Styela clava: one gene and its partner. Each later gene encodes a partner of the first gene's protein in a complex. Links are inferred from orthologs where the notes say so. Each region holds a gene or a part of one and is shown on either strand. Other genes may lie near its edges.

Region 1 (7,885 bases):
ATCGATCGATTTTAGTCCTACTATGAGTTCAAAGACTAGCCAAGTGCCTCTCGTAGTATTTGTACCTAAAATTATGGCCTAACCCTAACCTAGTACACATATTACATTCCGATGTCCGCCAACTTGGTTCGCATACTTCAGGAGCCCCCAAAATTGCGTATGTCCCCAAGTCACAGTCACATTTCTGCCCAAGTCACAGTGCGCCATTATGACGTCATTTAACTGCGTCATACAAATTAACTTAAATCCAGCTACGATCAAAATATTGAACCATGACAAATTATTGACTCTCAATGACATAACAATATCATTAGAAAGTTTTTTACGTTTTTCTCAAAACTGCTAAAAATGACTTACGCAATTCGGTTATTAGCGTGACGATATCTTATTCCTAACCCCCCACCTGACTATGCCATCCAAAAATTACGTCACTACGACGTCACCATCACGTCATAGGGATTGCCAAAGTATAATTACGATCGCCCAAAATAGCATATGCGCCGCCGATAACGCGATCTTTCTCCTATCGTGATCGTTGCGACGAGAAAACGAGAGAAATAGCTTGCTCGATTTCTGGTGATTGTCTGCGTGCTTTGGACGACCATCCGCATACTTCGGTGGGCCTTATTGCGCCACTGTGATGTAGGAATGACGTAATTTTTCGGTGACGTAGTCAGGTGGGGGTTAGGATTGACATATGCAAAAATTGATGAGCCAGGCCAACTAGAAGTGGATGTGGTACTAAACTATACCAGACCCCTGCAGTACTGGTAAGGTACCGCAGTGAATTACGCTCTCAGCTTTTCGTTACAGTTCTGATGTAAACAACATAAATTTTGTTGCCTACCTTATTTTTTTTTTATTTGATAAGAGGAAATAAATTGAGTTCTTATATGACAAGGAAGAACCGTTCTTCGAACGAATTTCAGGTACTGGTTAGTTACCGCATATGATTATCGGGGAATCGATATTTATTTTTATTTTGCTCTGGTACCGTAATGGATAAGTGATTTAAATCACTTAGTATTTCAATTCACATTGAAAGTGGGACAAAACAGGCTTTTAGTGGCCCGGAGTAGGCTACCTGTCAATCAAGTCATCGATCTAGTCACACGAGCTGTTTTGGCGTTTAGAGACCGTTTGCCCGGGTAACGGGAATTTTTTGGGAAGTGGCATTAGGGGTGGAGGCAGTGCCTCCGCCTCCTCAGTGGTGAGAAAACGTGTGGAAAGCCACGTCCACTTGTTACCTAATCCTATAAAGTCGCTTTTCTCTTTAATTCCTGGACCAATGTATGTATTGCTCTGAAATTTTCAGTGCATGAAGATAAAAATTTTCTTTAGAAGGATATTACTTTCATTTACTTCAAACGTGTCCATATATTTGAGCATATCTCTCTTGTTGGGTTAAGCATGGCTAACTTCTTATATCTAATGGAATTATTTTGATATTACTGATATATATGTTCTTAATGTTTGTTCACTTGTGGTACACAATATGTCTTTATTTATACTTAATTTATCGATTGTTTACTTCTTGAATAATCCACATTGTGGATCCATTTAAAAAAAAATTCAACATTCTAATATTATTCGAAAATAAGTAAAAGTATATATTTAGGTTATAAGTTTATTTCGACTCCATAATCAGAAATAATAAGATAAAAGTAACTGATTATAGAATCGGGAGAGCGAACTAAACCCCGAGTAAGGTTTGAAACGTACAGATTTTAGATGGAAAGGTATTGATAAAAGAAGTAGTACGTGTTCGCTCACCCAAATTTTGAAGTTTTTTTGAACTCTAGTTCAGCAGTTTTATTCATCTGTTTATTTACTATTCATATCTGCGTATACGTATATACGGTAGATTAATAGTAGAATACCAGTATGTAGATATAAATATCTTAAGAATAGGAAAAATTATGTTGTGATAGAACTGGGACGAATTGGCCAGTCAACAATTCTCACCTAGTTTCCAGCATAAACCATACCGGTACCGGTATTCGTTTAGCTAACCAGTTACAGAATTAGCGATGAAGGTCATTCGTTTGTTCTGATATACCTGTATACTGTGTATGAACTATCATTTGGTGAAGTGGTAGCGGTATGCCAAGCATAATATTATTCTTAATAATATAACGTTACCAGTAAAGATATGGTTTTCGCTAATTTCCTGAAATGTTTTATGTTATACAGTCATAGAATAATCTCACTTGTCTAAACTAAATAGAAATGGAACAAAAAAGACGAAAAGTGAATCGGAAATCTGGGATGCCAGCGAAGTTACATAATGGATCCCACACTGATTCTGTTATCACTATTGAACTGGATACTGGAGTGGAAATATTGAATATTCAGCAATTGGTTGAAAATCGTTTACAATCTGCGGATTTGAGTGATTATGAAATTTATTTACAAGATATTCCACTTAATCCACAACTGAGTTTGTATCAGCAAGGCGTAAAGGTTTCGGGAAGTGTCGAACTCAGTATTCGAGTACAAACTGATAATGGGCGATTGACTATTGTTGAAATTACGAAAAATATGACCGATGAAGACATTCAAGCGTTGAACGGTCAACAAAGTGGACTCTCAGAAAATGGACATTCTAATAACGAAGATTCATCAGAAAATAAAGAGGAACTTGGTATTCCTTGTGACCCAATGGAATGGACATCAGATCAAGTATTTCGCTGGATGGTCTGGGTGGCAAAGGAATTTAATTTAGATGCTTCTGTCATTAAAAATTCTAGAATGGATGGAAAGAAATTATGTTCATTAACGATTGAAGAATTTTTTGTGAAACTGCCATATGGAAATATTTTATGGTCACACTTGTCGTTTTTGAAAAGATTATCAACGAACGATGGTGAACATAATGTAGAAATAGAAAACGATTCTGAAAATATGGCTTTAAATTTAGTTCTAAATGATCAACAAACGAACATATCAGGCAATTACGCACGGCGGGCTCCAAGAAGAACGCCGGCTATAATTTCATCAGACAAAGGTGCTCCAATCAGTACACGTTCTCACAACAGCGGAGGCCAAATTCAACTTTGGCAATTTTTGTTGGAACTTTTAACAGACGCAGACGAACGACACGTCATAATGTGGTTGGGAGATGAAGGGGAATTCAAATTTTTACAACCCGAAATGGTGGCTCAAAAATGGGGTGAAAGAAAAGGCAAGCCCACTATGAATTATGAAAAACTTTCTCGGGCTCTGCGTTATTATTACGATGGCGATATGATCAGTAAAGTACCTTCAAAGCGCTTCGTTTATAAATTTGTTTGCAATTTGAAAGAATTACTAGGTTATGATGCAGGAGAATTGAATAAAATGGTAACTGATTGTTCGAATAAACGAAAAGAACAATCGTCTGATCAAAATGTTGTGCCAGTCAATGGCGACTGTATGATAAATGGTATCGCATTGTCTAGTCTTGTCAATCAATGATGCTTTTCTATAATTCGAAGCCGTTTTGTTAATAATGATATTGCTGTTAAATGGTATCTGTAAATAATATATATCTGTTAAATTTTGATAATTTGCTCAATATCACATACGCCATATTTTTGTTGCCGAATATGTCTTTGTTTGCCATAAAAATAATTTTGGTAAAAATCTTTGTTTGGGGAAATATATGAAATGATACAACAGTAAAGTTCCCACTGATTTCAAATGTCACTGAGAAATTCTTATCCTTAAATGGTCCTGAATCATATAAATATAGTTTCTAAACTCATAATAGCATTTTTGCTAATTTTATGTACCTATGCTAATTTTAAACATACCCAAAATAATACATTGTTAGGATGGCTTGGATTTTTGGTCCCGATTCATTTGAATATATTTTGCGGGTTTTCAGAAGTCATAGTGTTCTAATACTAACCTGATCATTTCAATCACAATTTGAAAATCGTGGTTCGACTTAAGTTATTTGATGATTTGAATTTGAGTGTCAGTATTTTAGTATTCTTTCAGTTTGCTACTCAATTTGATTTATGTAGCATGTATTGTATATTTGCATAACATGAATCATAAATGCGCTATATAACAATTCAATTTTAAGAACACAGCAGTTGATAAAAAATCGTTATAAATACTATTTGTTGGAATTGTACCCTTATTCGCCAGTCTTGGTATTAATAAGGTTATTTTGATTTTCGGCTCAAACTACAGTATTAATTTATTGAACAATTCCTCAAAGCAATTATTTTCTACCAAACCTGGACCAAAACTATGAAAAATGTGGAAATTATTTGATTTTTGTGACTTATGTTCCAACTGTCTGGTTTGCTTCAAATATGATTGTCAATGTCAGCAATATTGTGGCCAGCTCAATTTTCAGATGAAATATTTGTATAACTGTTTTTTTAAATTTTTTTGGTGGTTTGGGTTTGACATCATATTTGAAGATATTTATTTACAAAATGAATAAATGGGTGACGGGTAACAATTTATGCAATCATTTCACCGACTCTGTACCCTCTGCCTTTTGAATGAATGTAATTCCTTTTAGAATTAAAAAAACCAATCGATTTGGTGCCAACTAATATGACTAGCTTAGCTACTAATATTTCAAATGTAAAATTTGAATTTGATTTTTGTACAAAAAATCATCCCATGCAAAAAAATTAGTCAAAGTTATTATTTGGAATGCATTAGTGTCATGTCAAAACACTTTATATTTGTGATTATAACCTGATAAGTATTCTATACTTTCTTCTATTGCCATTTAATTATTCAACTATTACCGGTATGTATTGATACTATTTGTGATGTTGATTTGGTGCTACATGTTATTTTTCTAGCAACTCACTGCAAAGTAAACGCCATGATTTATATATTTTTTCTTTTAGATAGTGTTTGTAATATAACATCATGGATATAAAGGATCCAGCCTTGTTTCTTCAAGAAATTCCTATACATTCAAAGTTTTCGCAAAGACCTGCTCAAGAAATTTCAGTTCCTGAAGGAGAAGGTCCAGTCGATGCATCCGAGAATGTTACATTTCCTGAATCCGGTGGTGGTGTGACCTTACAATTGCAAGATTCAACGAGAGTGATTTGTTGGCGCACTCAAAAAAATTCTCTGGAAATTTTTGAATATTCTCTCGATGTGGATTTGTTTTCTTCACATTTTATCATCAGTTTCGAAGGAACTAAAATAATACCTGGAGTTGATGTATCGCTGTTCAAAAATCGCTTATACATCACTTGTTGTACTCTTCATGCAGTTCATCGTATGTCAATTGATACTTTGTCAACTGGGCGATCTGGACCAAAGTCAGGGGTCAGTTATCCATCTTTACTTTCAAATTTAGCGACTTTCAATTTTGAAAATGAGTTTGAAAACTTCTATTTTGGCGAAAAAATTCAGGGACTTGTAACAGAATGGTCAGTAAGAACGATGCTTCCGGATAAAGGTGACCCATACACTGCTGTTGCGTTGAAAACCAATCAAGGCAATATGGCGCTTGTTAACATGACAAGTCGCTCTCCTCCAACTATTGCAAATATCTACCAAGCGTCAAGGATGTCACGAATATGGTCCGGTATTAATCCATGGGGTGAAGCAGCCGGCACTGAAACTATCTCTGATATTGCAATACTCGTGATTGAAAATCACCCATACGTCGTTGCAGCATGTAAAGACCGTAAACTGCGACTTTGGTCTTTTGAAACCCATGATATGCTTGTGAATTATGACCTATCAGCACATTTTCAAGATGATGGTGACAAATCGAAAGCTGTGGATCTCAAAGTAAGAGTTGTCAACGAAGTTGGAATGATAAGCTTATATATTTGTATGTCGGATCAAGCAGGATTCCTTCAATTTCAAGTGAAAATGGATTCAAGCACTGGTACTTTGGAAACTAATTTTTTGTCCGTTGTTTTTGCTTCCCTTTCACCACAAGGACTACCACACCGCCATCTGGTTGATTATTTTTTAACAGAAACAAATAAAATATTTACTTTGTGGCGTGATACTGAAGAAGTAGATTCTATTTCAGTGTGTGCTGCTGATGTAGGTGTATGGCATGAAGTCGCTTCACACCCATCACCAGTTCTAGAAATTCCACTTCTTCCATATCAGGATGTCGGAGAGGCCTACATGGATTACATATTTAGCTCAGGTAAATTCAGCCCTGTAGCATTGACTCGAACGTTATCTATTCATCAGAGATCAAACGTATCGAACATGGCGTATCTCCAACCACAAGAATTGAAGGAAAGAGTTGCCGCACATATTCAAAATGCGATTCAAGAAATAATTCCGGATGAAGAAATGGATGAGGATGCTTTGCAAGTCTCAGTGTGGAACTCATTTTATCAAGATCTAATTCAATATCAGCAAGTTGTGTCTCGTTCTTTGGGGCTGATAATCAATCACGGTTCTTCACAGAGTCTTGTATCCGTCATCAAAAAAGGTTATCTTATGATATTAGCCCCCGTTTCACCACTTGAAGCTGTTTGCCGTGGATCTGATCCGGATATTTTTCGAACATTTTTACAGCCGGACGATTGCACAGATGCCAATCTCAATGACTTAGCTCAATTATTGGAAAGCCTTGGAAAATTACATAGTTATTTAGGAGCGGAATTAGTAGAGTCAATACAGCAGAGCTTATGTTTGGCTGGCAATTCCCCACCTGATGTCATAGAAGATATGATGCCAGATATTCAGGGTGCTGTAAGAGAATCATCAGGAAACGACACATGGGATAATCTTATCATCAAAATTAATGATGTTTCGTCTGCTGTCAAAATGCTAACGCTCTGCTTAAGCCCTTCAGAATTTGCATTCGATTTTGATATGCCAGATTTACAATCTTGGCCAGCAGGGTCACTGGGGGTTGAATTTATATCGCGTTGTATTATGCGACATGTTGAAAATCGTTTCCAACTCTCCATCCTGCTTTATGTACTTTCCTCATTGCTAGAAACTCTACAGAGGCAAGATGGTCATATACAACAAGAAGGAGACACTCAATTAGGATTCCGAATTGTTAGTTTTGTGCAAGCTTATCAAGCTATGTTCTGGTTATCTACTGTTCAAACACAAAACATATCACAGGCAACTTTAGAAAGCACCATGCAAACTTTATCCGTGCATGATTCAACACTTAGCATAGACCGAGAGGCAAAATCCACACTTGCGCAAGGACACCAAACCGTACTTGAATTCTTTATTTCATCTGATGGAGGTAAGCTCTTACAAGCATATCTGCAGAACCAACAAGGACAAGGTATTCACATCCTACATTCAGGATTGGTTACAAATTTTGTCAACTTTGTCGTTTACCTTATGTGGCCGCTTGGGCCTACACTCACCCTGCTAGATTTTTTGCTCTCTCATGGACACTACACTGTCCTTCAAAGATACATCCAGCGAGAGCTTGGCGATTGGTGCAACTGGAGCACAAAGTCTCAAAGATACATGCTAGCGCACTGTCATCTTCATAATGGAAACTTTGATAAAGCCGTTCAATCCTTTATCATGGCATCGTCAGGGATTAGCAATGAGGATTATCTCGCTAACAAACTGCTGAAAGAAGATGAAGAAAACTTCCACCCAGCAGCTCAAGAAATTATCTATTATACCAAAGTTTTACCGATATTTGAGAGATTAGATTTACCTGAACAAGTGATTACTTTGGCAGAACATGCCATTCAAGTTGCAAAATCACAAGAGCATGATCCGAATGTGTCCATTTTGTGGTCGAGTATATTTCGACAGAGTAACCTACTACAGCGGCATTGTAATGCACTGAAAGCAATAGTACTAAACCCAGATCCTGATCATAGAAAAGATTGCTTGAGAACTCTTGCTGTCTCACTTTGTGAACATAAGAAATACAAAACACTGGTCGAATTCCAAT
Region 2 (5,807 bases), on another chromosome or scaffold:
AACATGTATTAGGAAAAAGAAGTACCTTGTTGAATACCCAAATTTCACCATTAACAGTTGGCTTCGGAACGCCATGGCCATTATAATGAAATAAAACTCTTTCTTCTTTAGAATTTCTTCGCAATGAAGTACATAATCTTTTGACATCTTCAACTGTCGGATCTAGAGTTTGTTTGTAACGAGCCTACAAAATAATAAATACATAACTGTTTTGTAATATACTAAGTGAATGAATATATATTGTCTTACCATAGGTGACTTATAATTTTTATGTTACAATCTGGTCAGCGAAATATATATCAATACATTAAAACTCTATACAAAATGATAAGACAGGGGGGTGTATTAAAACAGTAATTCTTAAACTTTCACAATCCATGGCCCCCTGCATCTCTATAAAAATACCAAATTTTGAAGTTACATTTTGATCAGTTATTTTATGTTCCATGTTTAATATTAAAAAATTCAACAAAAGAAAGTAAATGCATTATAGTAAAATCACAGTCAATCTATTTAGGCCCTGCTTGTGGCCCGAGAGAACCACTCGTTGGGGGGCCGAGAGCCCTATTTGAGAAACCCTGTAGTAAAATGAATGCAGATACAGAGACTAAAATACTAACAGAATGTCAACTATCCTATTAATAGAGTTCCTGGGTCTGTCTGAATGGCAAGTAAATCTCATCCAACACTGATCATTGATCTCAGTCTGAGATTTGGTCAACCTATTTATTAATATTTTAAGTTTTCAAAGTATAATATTCAAACATCATACTCTTGATTGCCATCTTTCATACTGCTTTTGCAAATTATTTCCGATTGCTTCCAATGCTTTTTGAGGTGTGTAGTTAGATGGATCTATAATAAAAGAAACAAATTATATATAATTCAAGTCCTTTATTACAATAAACAAAGTATTTTAATTAAACAAACCTATCCAACATTCTTGTCTGGCACAAGGTGTTGTTTTCACAACATCTGGAGGATCGACACCAACATTTAAACATAGAACAAGTGCAACGCTGACAGTCTTCATCTAAAAATATAAAATGTGCTACTATTGAATATAGTACTGAGATAAAATCACCAATCAATCCCTTGCTAAAAAAATGCATGCCCATATTATACAATGATTGCAATAGAGCAGTGTTTCCCAACCTTTGATGGCTCGTGGCCCCCTTCCGAAAGCTTTCAGCACTCATGGCCCCCTGTTTATCATTCCAGTGGTATTTATAGTGTTACTTTGATGGGTAGATTCCAAATCCCATTATGTTCAAACAATTCATGTTCAACAAAATGAATCTACCATGTGAAATAACATTTCCAAGCAATGAAACTAGGAACAACAGGAAGTTTTCTTGTCAAGGGAAAAGTAAAATCAGTTTTGCGCCCTGCTCTGTGGCCAATTTACAGGGCCATGGGCCCCCGGCCGAGAACCGCTGTATTAGAGTGTTTATACTTGTAATGAAAAATGTGTACTGTTTTATTTGAAATTTTTATTTATATGTTTATAATGTGAATAATAATAACTCAGTTATTGTTAAAGGAATTAGTTGAAAGAACATTAATACATAGCAAATTAATATTTATATTTAAAGTAATAGTTGCATTTAATAGAATTTCTATAAAACCAATTCTCAACTATTCAAATAATAATATTATTCCAGTAACATCACAATTGAGTGAATATCTTCCATACTAAGTAAATATTCCGCTGAAGGGTTTTATATAAGAAAACACAAATTTTGATACAATGCTTAATTTAATTTGAATATACATTTCAACATTCGATCTACATGAATAGATATGCATACATGTTTCACAAAAATGCAACATTGGATGAAATAATACAATTATCATTAAATAATAATGAACAAAATTGACAGTTATAATATACAACAGAAACACCTACAAAACATCATATAATAAAACGCACCTCTATCAACAAAATTAAACAATTACCCTTTCTTTCATTCTCCATGTTTGTGTGACTGGCTTTGAACTTGTGATGCTTTCCAAGTGTCTTTTTTGTTGAAATGCCAGAGGTAAATTCCATCCTGCTTCCATCATATTATGAAGAATCTCAGCATCCTCATCTACAGTCTCCCCCTCTTTTTCTTCATCCTTTTCAATCCCTCGACCCAACATAGTCTTCAACCAAGCTGATCAATTTACTATAAAACTCTAGTAAAGGAATGGAAGAATGTAGACATTCGGTATAACAATTTTGGCTTCAGCCCTACAAAAGCTGCAAAGCCACAGCTGCACAGATACAAAAAAGGAGAGGTCTGCAAAATAATCAATCTTAACTTCTAAATCTGTATTTTGAATTCTGTAATATCAGTTTCATTGCAAGTTTTGGTCGATAGCATATGTGTAATTATTGAATGGATAGGATTTTCATATGAATCGCTGGGATCTGAATAGAAATCCAAGACTGCAATGATATTAATCACATATCATCATAATCGTACGTAATTTTGTAAAAGAACGACATCCATATTGAGACAAATTAGATTTGACAATACTTGTGATTTTATAGCTTTACTAATGACTTTATACGCCGAGAATATGAGAATGTCACAACACATCTGACATCTTTATGTTTATTTATTATACAGACGCTGTTAAACAGTGAGACAAATTAACATACACACATACAATGAACGCCGCACCATGGTTAACTGAATATAGTTAGCATGGTTAACTGAATATCATGACAAAGCTTTCACGAATATTTTTGCTCAATGCTGCCACCTTGTGAATTTGAACACCGCCACTAACCGTCAGTTTTGACTTGATTGTGTTTTTGTTTTGTCGGTTCCGTTTGAACTTTTATAATACTTTGCAATTCTAGCGCTGAGTTTGGAATAGAAAAGGTATGTAGACTATATGTAATTATTATTGATTCTCACAACAATATTGATATTGCATTTGTTGAATACAGCATTGGACGACAACTTCTGCTGTTCTGGGATTAGACTTTCCTGGCCATACATGCTTGCATAGCTTTTGTCCTTGTATAGAGTACCGGTACCGTAATCCTATTAGATTTTTTAGAAAACATAATACATGTACGGTAGTACAAATATAAAAGAAGGAAAACATGAAACTACTGTAATTCTATGGCTAGTGATAGTTTATTTTTTCTGCATGAATATTTCCCGTACCTTAAAGCGATTTCCCGTCATTCCCGCTTTTTGTGAAATTTCCCGCTTTTTAGTGAAATTTCCCGTAGTTCCCGCATTTTAGTTTTTGCAATTTCCCGTCGTTCCCGCAGTTCCCGCATTTTAGTGCATTTCCCGTTTCCCGCATTTTAGGGTTGCCCCAGGATTAGTTCATGTAAAAATATTCACAACAATAGGCTGACAAACTATATGAAAACTTTCAATCACAAGTTAATGTGAGATATATTACCAATATAAACAAAGTCACGAATAAGAAATCTCGCAGGAAATGATTTGTGTGTATTATGTCTGTATGTGGAAAAGAACATGAACTTCTGAGTCATCTATTTATGAACTGCAGAACTGTTTATATTTTGATTCATTGAAAATACTGTTAAAAAATTTAAAAAAATATTTAATGCTAGACTTTTGTGCCATTTTAATGCCAATATTGTGTTTTATTAGACTTTTGAGTTTTTTACTACTAGAAGACATTTGATTAGCCTATTATTGTGTTTTAAGTTACCATTAGTAGATATAAAATATGGTTACAAAAAAATGTATTATATGTCAAGGCAGTACTCGTATTTACCATATATAGTAATTAAACAAATAAAAACAGCAATCACTTATCTCTGTTTTATCCAATGCTGCCTGTTCTGAATTTATGTTCCTGACAAAAAAAATCTAATCATTTTTTTTTCTTCATAATTGCCTTTTATAGAATTAATATTAAAAAAATAATTTCAAGATGAGTTTGTCTCTACGTGGAGATTTTGGACTGGAAAAATCCAAACGAAAAAAGCGGAGGGAGATTTCAGAGGAACAGAAACAAGAAATTAAAGAGGCTTTCGAATTATTTGACACAGACAAGGATAAATTTATAGATTATCACGAACTCAAGGTCGCAATGAGAGCATTAGGGTTTGAAGTAAAAAAAGCTGACGTCTTGAAAATTTTGCGAGAAAATGACAGAGAAGAAACTGGAAAAATCAGTTTTGATGATTACAATGATGTCATGACAGACTTAATTCTTGAAAGAGATCCCCAGGAAGAGTTGACAAAAGCTTTTAAACTCTTTGACGATGATGACAGTGGTAAAATATCATTAAGAAATCTACGTAGAGTTGCTAGAGAACTTGGTGAAAATATGACAGATGATGAATTGAGAGCCATGATTGATGAATTTGATACTGATGGTGACGGCGAAATTAACCTGGAAGATTTTATTGCGATTATGACTGGTGATACGTGAAACAATTCAAGCTTTAAAACTATCAAAATATTGAGTACAAACATATCTTCCTTTGGAGAAAAAATTTATTTGGAAAAGTTCTAGAATAGCATCTGATTAAAAATGTATATATGTAGTTGTTTTGGGGATTTTGGTTGGAATTATCTGACTATATAGCACGGGGGAATATCTTCTTAATTTTGAACAGAGACTTTGGACCATAAAAAATATTGATAATTCTCTAAATATTAGTTGAGATATTTGCTCCGAAGTATATGTTAAAACTCCATCATCATTTGCACTATGCTTTGCATACAATCCACCCTTTTCATCAGTATACTTTTTATATCATTATTATAAATTCACTTTGCAATAGTATCTATTTTTGAGCGGAACAAAATTCATTGGCAAGGAAATATTCAATCCTAATTCATTCAGTACATTTTATAATCCAGGTAGAAGGCTGTAAGTAGCATATTTTTTTTAAATATTTTTGCGACAGCAATTTACACAATGTTTCTTCACACAACTTTATTATGTATAGTTTTCTATGTTGTTTTATTAACTGATACAAATCATCTTCACAGGAGAAGACCGGATATATAAAATAAGTAGGTACTTCTCGGGCATTGTCTCATTCAAAACCAATATATTTCAGCATTTGTGACAATCCTCATTAATACATTTATATAATCTATTACTCTATTGCTGCTTATTTTTTGTTGCCCCAGCTAATTTTACAAAGCTTGTTGTTTTGTTGTCAATTTTTCATTTTTTTGTGTAATTTAGGGAGATGAAAAGATGGTTGATTCAGTCATTTTTGATATATTTGTTTGCATATTAGTACTTGAATATACGTCTGTGAATAAAATTATTTTTGAAATTGGTGCATCACTCTTAAGGCTAAGCTGTAAATAAGCACCAATCGAAGCTGTCACAAATGTTGTTCGCCCTGGTCGACTTATCGAAAGCAGTCATCGGGCGACGGGTGTCCCCAACCAATCTAGACACTTATCAAATTAATTCTTTTAAATTAATTAATCAAATATCGAATCAAATATATGAGTCCAAACTGAATATGTACCGTTATCACTATTTTCGTCGATACCAACAAAACGCCGATATTTCAGATTGCCGATAATATTAGGCTTACCATACGTCCCGGTTTTGACGAGCTGTCCCGGCCGGTTGACTCAAATGTCCCGGTTTGTCAGCACGGCTGTCATGGGTGAAAAATTCATATTCCTTATTGTTACAATTTTTTTTAACGGTGGCAGCCCATTTACCACTGTTTTGCGACACACTTCGCTAGTTCAGAGAGTAAAAAATGCTCTATTGTTATGTCACAATCGGTATATGTTTTAATGCGTTTTCTGGCGTTAACTACAATGCCGTTAAGTTGTCGAAAT

The links. Proteins that work in one complex are often made in the same cells at the same time.
Region 2: nuclear pore complex protein Nup160-like (region 1) and centrin-3-like share a complex: the UniProt entries of both Homo sapiens proteins name them as parts of the nuclear pore complex. The link is inferred for Styela clava from reciprocal best matches to the Homo sapiens genes NUP160 and CETN3.

The regions. Positions count from the first base shown.
Region 1 is NC_135250.1:6,156,769-6,164,653, reverse strand, and holds the start of nuclear pore complex protein Nup160-like, read left to right. Parts: upstream 1-4,862; 5' UTR 4,863-4,884; coding exon 4,885-7,885. Other genes in the region: GA-binding protein alpha chain-like, read left to right, coding at 2,230-3,456. UniProt on the Homo sapiens protein: Functions as a component of the nuclear pore complex (NPC). Involved in poly(A)+ RNA transport.
Region 2 is NC_135263.1:8,826,993-8,832,799, reverse strand, and holds centrin-3-like, read left to right. Parts: upstream 1-3,856; 5' UTR 3,857-3,915; coding exon 3,916-4,419; 3' UTR 4,420-5,281; downstream 5,282-5,807. Other genes in the region: regulatory-associated protein of mTOR-like, read right to left, coding at 26-184, 773-855, 931-1,033, 1,960-2,145. UniProt on the Homo sapiens protein: Plays a fundamental role in microtubule-organizing center structure and function. As a component of the TREX-2 complex, involved in the export of mRNAs to the cytoplasm through the nuclear pores.